2 linked regions of the Saccharomyces cerevisiae S288C genome follow. Changing the gene in region 1 together with any one later gene gives a genetic interaction. Each region holds a gene or a part of one and is shown on either strand. Other genes may lie near its edges.

What was found.
Region 2: mutations in SNU56 (region 1) and CUP1-1 are lethal when combined (synthetic lethality), as found in Saccharomyces cerevisiae (one study listed by BioGRID).

The regions. Positions count from the first base shown.
Region 1 is NC_001136.10:942,167-947,501, forward strand, and holds SNU56 (Snu56p), read right to left. Parts: upstream 2,987-5,335; coding exon 1,508-2,986; downstream 1-1,507. Other genes in the region: YDR239C (uncharacterized protein), read right to left, coding at 1-1,254; AMD2 (putative amidase), read left to right, coding at 4,641-5,335. UniProt on the Saccharomyces cerevisiae protein: Component of the U1 snRNP particle, which recognizes and binds the 5'-splice site of pre-mRNA. Together with other non-snRNP factors, U1 snRNP forms the spliceosomal commitment complex, that targets pre-mRNA to the splicing pathway.
Region 2 is NC_001140.6:211,397-215,436, reverse strand, and holds CUP1-1 (metallothionein CUP1-1), read left to right. Parts: upstream 1-2,716; coding exon 2,717-2,902; downstream 2,903-4,040. Other genes in the region: RSC30 (Rsc30p), read left to right, coding at 1-254; metallothionein CUP1-2, read left to right, coding at 719-904; YHR054C-B (uncharacterized protein), read left to right, coding at 747-920; YHR054C (uncharacterized protein), read left to right, coding at 1,188-2,252; YHR052C-B (uncharacterized protein), read left to right, coding at 2,745-2,918; CIC1 (Cic1p), read right to left, coding at 3,459-4,040. UniProt on the Saccharomyces cerevisiae protein: Protects the cell against copper toxicity by tightly chelating copper ions. May also act as a depository for copper designated for the effective transfer into the apo forms of copper proteins.

The sequences.
Region 1 (5,335 bases):
ATTAACCACCCTAAATATTCTACGATGACTTGGTAACTCAGGCTCTTGTGTTGAGACGTCATTTTTTATAGATGAGCCTTGATCACTTGCGTAATTTATAAATGCTTTACTTTCACTATCCACAAAACCTTTTTCCTGAAGACCATCATCATCATCCTCGTTGGAAGAACCGCTATCAATCTCATTAGTTATCCGCAGAGGCTTTCTGGCGCTTGCAATACTTCCATCACTCCCAAGGTGCTCATTTGATTTATATGCAAAATCAAAATGTGCAGCTTTAAAACCACTAGATTCGTCTTTAGAAACTTGCTGAAGGCTTTTGGTGGATTTACCACTAGCCGATGTACTAAAGGAAAATTTATCATCCCCATCATCCAGATTCGAAGAAAATTCTTTTAGATGATCTGATTGTACTAAATTTCCGTTACTTGCTTTATTTACTTCTTCATTATCCACAATAAGTGGTTTTACGTAGCTTAAGGAACTCTCCGCGCTGACATTTCTCAAAATGGGAGCTTCCATGACATCTACTGGCAACTTATCTTGCGATGCTTTAGTATCTGAGTTTTCAGACGTGTCTAGGGATAGTGAGCTACCGGAACTTACCTTGTGTTCATTAATGTAATTTTCAATATCATCTACCAACTTTTCTGCTTCTGAACGCTGCCGCCTATGTTGATTGTGGGTGGATGAGATTGCAATACTATCCCGCTCAGAATCATTATTACTCTCTATTTCTTCCTTAGTAGTATTGTTGCTTATTGACGTTGTTATTGACTTCATGTCCATAGGCGGTGGTGGAGGCCTCGAACGTTTTATCTTGGAGAAATGTGCATTTGAATTTGCGCTTGTTGTGAAGGGGTTGGTTCTCTGCCCAATGATGTTGTTTTCTTGTAAATATTCAATTCCTTTGTGATCGTTTCCTGACGCTTCCTTGGACTGTGTTAATTCAAGAGAATCTCCTAAGGTATCCTCAGCATTCAAAAATGGATTAGTATTCTTTAATGTTTCCTTTTGTAATGGTGCCTGGATAGAATGGCTCCTGCTATGAGCATTCCTATTTGGACTTCTTGGCGGTATATCAGGGGCAGAAGTTTCAGCCGTCGAAGTTCGTGCGATATTTGTTGATTTCTTTATTGTAGAGGGCACCGATGGCTTTCTAACGGATTTTTCAGAGTCATTGTTTTTACTTTCAGAACCAAACCGAAAAAAAGACCTTCGTTTACCTTTATTGTTGCTAAAGCCATCAAACATCACTGTATTATTAGACTTTACCTGTAGACTCCTTCAAAACCTGTAATTCGCTTTGCAGAACATGCTATTTCAACATTTTCCCTCTTAAACTTTTGCCAAATAATAATAGTGCGCTCTTTGAATCCGCGATGACATTTGAAAGAAAACATTAAATTAAACTATCGCTTTGCATACGGAGCAAATGCCATGAAAGAGAAAAAATAACCAAAAGGTTTTTTAAATATATCTATACACCTCCACTGTTATATGCGACTCAATGTTCTAATATATTCAATATCAGCTCTAATGCTTTGACTATATATTCACCGACTCCACCAATACTAATAACGCGGATGGTACTTGGGTGAGGCGCCTGAGCAAAAATAGTGTAATTTGTTGTATTTAAAGATTCAAGCCACATTTGTGACTCGTGAAGATTATTCAGATTCAATACGACGATATTACAATTTGTCTTTGATCGTAGATCATTTAGATTTTGATAAACAATATCAATATAATTTTGTCTTGGACACCTAACGTATGTCTTTAGAATCTGATACGAAGACTTCTTTTTCACTGCATCCATAGAAGCTTTTATGGTACCAATGCAATGTTGTTTGATTTCATCCTGCGTCATAAAACCCGGTTTATTACCTTCACTATACCTTCCGTCCTCAAAAGTTTTTGGCCCGGAATGACGATTGGAAGAATTCAATACATTTGATGGCTTATTAACAGCGTGTCTCTGTGGTTGTGTTTGATATGAAGTTGCACCTGCTTCAATAGTTTGAGAAGAGGAAATTGAATTTGAAGAGGGCGAATTCGATAAAGGTCTTTGTTGTCGTGGAAATTGATCTCCTTGAAGGCCACTTATTTCGTTATATGCCTTCATTTCAGAAATATGTTTAATCATTTGAGCTTTTGATGTTTCTATAATTGGCCTGGTTTTACTAATGTACGACTTTATATCAAACAAGCCATCGCCAATTAATGGAAGTTCGTAGAGGGCAAGTGATATCTGTGAATAAGTGCGGTTATATTCACGCTTAAAGTAGTTTATCACGTTAGCTTCACACTTGCCAAATTCTACTTGTGAAAAAAAATTAGAAAGCTCATTCATGAACTTACTTACATGACAAGCCTTAACTTGAAACTGTTGAAAATCTGGAACAACATTGAAACCAACTTCTACAATACTGGATGAGGGCTGCTCTCTTCTATAGCTTGTTATTATATGGCCTCTACCAGTTTCTATATTCTTGGGCAAATAAAACGAACCTGTCAAGTTAATATTCTTAGGAACTCTAAAGTATGATTTTTCGGATGGTGCCATCCATAATCGCTTCTGGAAAGCAAGCAGAACTGATAATACGAAGCAAGAGTCCAATATATTGAAGTCCTTCAAAACTATGTAGAAAAGCATGCCTTCATCTTTCTGCTCTTTCTGTGGATAACATCGTAATATATCCTTCGATATATACTTATGCAATTCATCCATGCACTCGTCGAACTGTTGTTTATCTTCCGTTCTCATGGGGAGTATGAGCAGACTACCTTTTATGAATTGCCCTGCATTCTTCTTAGTCGACCTTATCCTATCTAGGTTTTTCCATATATCAAAAGATTGGAATGCTTCAGAATTACCGACCTTCCTTCTTTGGCCATCATTGGATGTCGTAGGATAATGTCCTTGTGAAAGTTGTCCCTTCGGCTTGGTATGATGATACGCTAATCCTCTCCTTCTTGGGCGCATGATACTAATATTTTTTGCTTATATTAGTCGAAGGGAAACTGTTTCTCAACGTCAAACTTCTACTATAGTATATAATATAACTTTAATGTTTTCTACACTGCGATGCGCGCTGAAAATTCTAGCTCAAATAAAAAAAAGGTTACAACAAACCAGTAGCAATCATGAGAATAAGAAATATGAAGAAGTAATTAAAGATCATGTTGGAGTAAAAATCCAAAATATCATCTGTTTATTAGCATTCGTGTTAGTAGTATATTATCAAATGCGGTGTAAGAAGATGACATAAAGATTGAAAGACAGTCATCAAATGGAAGAGGAAATGCAACAACTCATGATGTAATAGGATAATGTCACATAAAAAATGGAAGATGAGATTATAATATTATTACGTAAGAATACCGATCCTCTTTTGCGGGTTCTTATATCTCGGGGAGAGCTTCTAGTACATTATTCATTCATAATATTATACCTTTACCAAGGATTGAATCCCAACAATCATCAAATTATTCACCCCTTTCTCAGGTCACTGGTTTGAAGCAAGTAAACTACATCTTCTTATACCGTATGCGATAATATACTAATAATATAAATACTACTAAATAGATGATGCTAGAATTCCATTAGAACTATAGTATACCATTTAAGTATTTATATTGCTATTGTAATATCTTATGAAAAGTTAATGTTCATCTGTCCCAACAATCTCTAACAAGTACAAAGATGACACGAGTTATGAGGCGCTGTCATAGGAACCTCCAAACAAGTTTGATATTAATTATAAGAAACATATTTCAAGCCCTCGTGTTGTATTACGGGCTCGAGTAATACCGGAGTGTTTTGACAATCCTAATATAAACAGTCTTAGGGAAGTAACCAGTTGTCAAAACAGTTTATCAGATTAATTCACGGAATGTTACTTATCTTATATATTATATAAAATATGAATCATACTAAGTGGTGGAAGCGCGGAATCTCGGATCTAAACTAATTGTTCAGGCATTTATACTTTTGGGTAGTTCAGCTAGGGAAGGACGGGTTTTGTCTCATGTTGTTCGTTTTGTTATAAGGTTGTTTCATATGTGTTTTATGAACGTTTAGGATGACGTATTGTCATACTGACGTATCTCATTTTGAGATACAACACCTCGCAAGAAATCGACTCTCGGTAGCCAAGTTGGTTTAAGGCGCAAGACTGTAATTTATCACTACGAAATCTTGAGATCGGGCGTTCGACTCGCCCCCGGGAGATTTTTTTATGTCAAGCACCTACTTTTAGCCGGCTTTCTGGAGATAAGTTCCCAGTAGTCGTTGTATTTGATTCTCTATTGGATAGTCAATGACACATTCGTGACCGAACAATGAGATATTATTGAGTACCGGGAGTATTATGTGTCATAATTTGTAGTATTATCTGTGTGACGGATTAAGTTTGCTATCTCAAATGCCGCGCGCGCGAATTGCTCATGATATAATAATAGCTAATAATATGATAATATGATAATAATAGATAAGATTACTGATAACATTATTTTAGTATTCAAAAGCGTATTACATATATATAGTCGAGTAAATACTTTTTTTTCAATGGGGAGTGGAAGGGACAGCCGCTCTGACCTGTTATTAACGACAGACAACACGGTACCAAAGTTATACAATGACTGTGCACTCAACGTGGAAGGAAAAAGTTCAATTAAAAAAAGATCAACTGAACAGTAAGATAAAAGACGAATGGAAATTAAACAGCACAACTATAACGAGGTTGAAGAACGATAAAAAAAATTTAATCAAGAATATCGATGATTTATGCTCATCTTCAGAAAATCAGATCACCCACTCCACGATTATGGCCTTGAGACAGGCACTGGAAGCAAAAGAGTTAAGCTGCCATGAAATAACAGCTGCATTTTGTCATAGGGCTGCTTTAATTCATCAAGTAGTGAATTGTCTATCCGAAATCATGTTTTCAGAGGCATTGAGATTGGCTGACTATTACGACAGCAATAGACCAGCCATATTGCCACCCTTGTACGGTATACCGATATCTCTCAAAGACCAATGTAACGTTGAGGGTGTAGACACCTCACTGGGTTATTTATGTCGAACTTTCAAACCAAAAACCAAGAATGAAGAATCATTGATTGTCAGTTTTCTGAGAGATTTAGGAGCTATTATATTTGTAAAAACCACCGTACCTTCATCGATGATGGCTACAGATACACAATCTAACACCTTTGGGTACACATATAATAGTATTAATTTAAGCTTCTCCAGTGGTGGATCTTCTGGTGGAGAGGGTTCGTTAATTGGTGCTCATGGTTCCTTGCTGGGACTAGGAACTGATATAGGCGG
Region 2 (4,040 bases), on another chromosome or scaffold:
AAAATTTTGCGAGAAACTCTGATAACAATAATGTTACAGATTATAGTCAGTCGGCGAAGAACAAAAATGTTCTCTTGAAATTCCCCGTTAGTGAACTGAACAGAATCTATTTAAAATTTAAGGAGATTTCAGATTTTTTAATGGAAAGAGAAGTTGTCCAAAGGAGTATAATTATTGACAAGGATTTGGAATCTGATAATCTGGGTATTACTACGGCAAACTTCAACGATTTCTATGATGCATTTTATAATTAGTAAGCCGATCCCATTACCGACATTTGGGCGCTATACGTGCATATGTTCATGTATGTATCTGTATTTAAAACACTTTTGTATTATTTTTCCTCATATATGTGTATAGGTTTATACGGATGATTTAATTATTACTTCACCACCCTTTATTTCAGGCTGATATCTTAGCCTTGTTACTAGTTAGAAAAAGACATTTTTGCTGTCAGTCACTGTCAAGAGATTCTTTTGCTGGCATTTCTTCTAGAAGCAAAAAGAGCGATGCGTCTTTTCCGCTGAACCGTTCCAGCAAAAAAGACTACCAACGCAATATGGATTGTCAGAATCATATAAAAGAGAAGCAAATAACTCCTTGTCTTGTATCAATTGCATTATAATATCTTCTTGTTAGTGCAATATCATATAGAAGTCATCGAAATAGATATTAAGAAAAACAAACTGTACAATCAATCAATCAATCATCACATAAAATGTTCAGCGAATTAATTAACTTCCAAAATGAAGGTCATGAGTGCCAATGCCAATGTGGTAGCTGCAAAAATAATGAACAATGCCAAAAATCATGTAGCTGCCCAACGGGGTGTAACAGCGACGACAAATGCCCCTGCGGTAACAAGTCTGAAGAAACCAAGAAGTCATGCTGCTCTGGGAAATGAAACGAATAGTCTTTAATATATTCATCTAACTATTTGCTGTTTTTAATTTTTAAAAGGAGAAGGAAGTTTAATCGACGATTCTACTCAGTTTGAGTACACTTATGTATTTTGTTTAGATACTTTGTTAATTTATAGGTATACGTTAATAATTAAGAAAAGGAAATAAAGTATCTCCATATGTCGCCCCAAGAATAAAATATTATTACCAAATTCTAGTTTGCCTAACTTACAACTCTGTATAGAATCCCCAGATTTCGAATAAAAAAAAAAAAAAAAGCTATTCATGGTACCCGCTGCTGAAAACCTATCTCCGATACCTGCCTCTATTGATACGAACGACATTCCTTTAATTGCTAACGATTTAAAATTACTGGAAACGCAAGCAAAATTGATAAATATTCTGCAAGGTGTTCCTTTCTACTTGCCAGTAAATTTAACCAAAATTGAAAGTCTGTTAGAAACCTTGACTATGGGCGTGAGTAATACAGTAGACTTATATTTTCATGACAACGAAGTCAGAAAAGAATGGAAAGACACTTTAAATTTTATCAATACCATTGTTTATACAAATTTTTTCCTTTTTGTTCAAAACGAATCCTCTTTGTCCATGGCAGTTCAACATTCTTCTAACAACAATAAGACCTCGAACTCTGAAAGATGTGCAAAGGATCTGATGAAAATTATTTCTAATATGCACATTTTTTACTCAATAACATTTAATTTTATCTTCCCCATAAAGTCGATAAAGTCATTTTCAAGCGGCAATAATCGCTTTCATTCTAATGGTAAAGAATTTTTATTCGCAAATCATTTTATTGAAATCTTACAGAATTTTATAGCAATCACATTTGCTATTTTCCAACGTTGTGAAGTAATATTATATGACGAATTTTACAAAAATCTTTCAAATGAGGAGATTAATGTTCAATTGCTATTGATTCATGACAAGATTTTGGAAATTTTAAAAAAAATAGAAATTATCGTATCCTTTTTACGAGATGAAATGAATAGCAACGGAAGTTTCAAATCTATTAAAGGTTTCAACAAGGTTTTGAATCTGATTAAATATATGCTGAGATTTAGCAAGAAAAAACAAAATTTTGCGAGAAACTCTGATAACAATAATGTTACAGATTATAGTCAGTCGGCGAAGAACAAAAATGTTCTCTTGAAATTCCCCGTTAGTGAACTGAACAGAATCTATTTAAAATTTAAGGAGATTTCAGATTTTTTAATGGAAAGAGAAGTTGTCCAAAGGAGTATAATTATTGACAAGGATTTGGAATCTGATAATCTGGGTATTACTACGGCAAACTTCAACGATTTCTATGATGCATTTTATAATTAGTAAGCCGATCCCATTACCGACATTTGGGCGCTATACGTGCATATGTTCATGTATGTATCTGTATTTAAAACACTTTTGTATTATTTTTCCTCATATATGTGTATAGGTTTATACGGATGATTTAATTATTACTTCACCACCCTTTATTTCAGGCTGATATCTTAGCCTTGTTACTAGTTAGAAAAAGACATTTTTGCTGTCAGTCACTGTCAAGAGATTCTTTTGCTGGCATTTCTTCTAGAAGCAAAAAGAGCGATGCGTCTTTTCCGCTGAACCGTTCCAGCAAAAAAGACTACCAACGCAATATGGATTGTCAGAATCATATAAAAGAGAAGCAAATAACTCCTTGTCTTGTATCAATTGCATTATAATATCTTCTTGTTAGTGCAATATCATATAGAAGTCATCGAAATAGATATTAAGAAAAACAAACTGTACAATCAATCAATCAATCATCACATAAAATGTTCAGCGAATTAATTAACTTCCAAAATGAAGGTCATGAGTGCCAATGCCAATGTGGTAGCTGCAAAAATAATGAACAATGCCAAAAATCATGTAGCTGCCCAACGGGGTGTAACAGCGACGACAAATGCCCCTGCGGTAACAAGTCTGAAGAAACCAAGAAGTCATGCTGCTCTGGGAAATGAAACGAATAGTCTTTAATATATTCATCTAACTATTTGCTGTTTTTAATTTTTAAAAGGAGAAGGAAGTTTAATCGACGATTCTACTCAGTTTGAGTACACTTATGTATTTTGTTTAGATACTTTGTTAATTTATAGGTATACGTTAATAATTAAGAAAAGGAAATAAAGTATCTCCATATGTCGCCCCAAGAATAAAATATTATTACCAAATTCTAGTTTGCCTAACTTACAACTCTGTATAGAATCCCCAGATTTCGAATAAAAAAAAAGCATATGTATTAATCCTAAAATGTATTATGAGAACGTCTTTTAAAGGTAAAATGCTGTTATCCCCGTCACTTTCAATGATCTATTTATTTGAAGCGGATAGTACAACAGATCAGTCTAAAACGTATAAGCTCTTAGACCGAGAAACCAATATTCAAATAATGACTTTATTTTTAATATACACTTCAAACATATATAGATATATACATATGCACCGCACTCTATGAAATTCAAATTTTTTTCTTCACAAGAAAAAAATGAGAGAAAAGATAGATAAGGAGGAAACAAATTAACTTTTAGCCTTCTTGACAGCTTCTGACTCGCTAGATTCTTTTTCAAGCTCGCTAGAAGATCTCTTTTTTGCATTGTTAATTTGTTTAGAGAAAATTGAACCCAATTCGGAAGGATTGGCGATTTCCATCAAACCCTTGTTGAAGGTAGACAAATGAACTTGTACACCATCAATGGTGACCATGTCATCTTCGTGGGTTTCTTCGATTTTGTCCTTTTTAGCTTCAAGTTCATCAAGAACGTCCTGGTTATAGTATAATGGCAATACGGGCGACCTATTGGTCTTGATAAAAATGGATCTGATTTGGTATGCTTTGATTAACTGTTCAGAAATTAATTCAACGTTATCTACAAACTCTTCTGGCCTTAACCATTCTAAATTACCCAAATGGACATTCAACGTGGTACCTCTTGGAAGTTTAACGGGCAACTGATTCATGTAAACCTTTTTGATATTGTTCGTCAAAGTGGTCAAGGAAAATTCCTTATTTGCATGTGTTCTAATTGATATAGGAGTAGTTTCTACTTTGTTGTAGGCTTTGCCTCCCATAAGTTTTGGCAAAGATGTAACTATACTGTC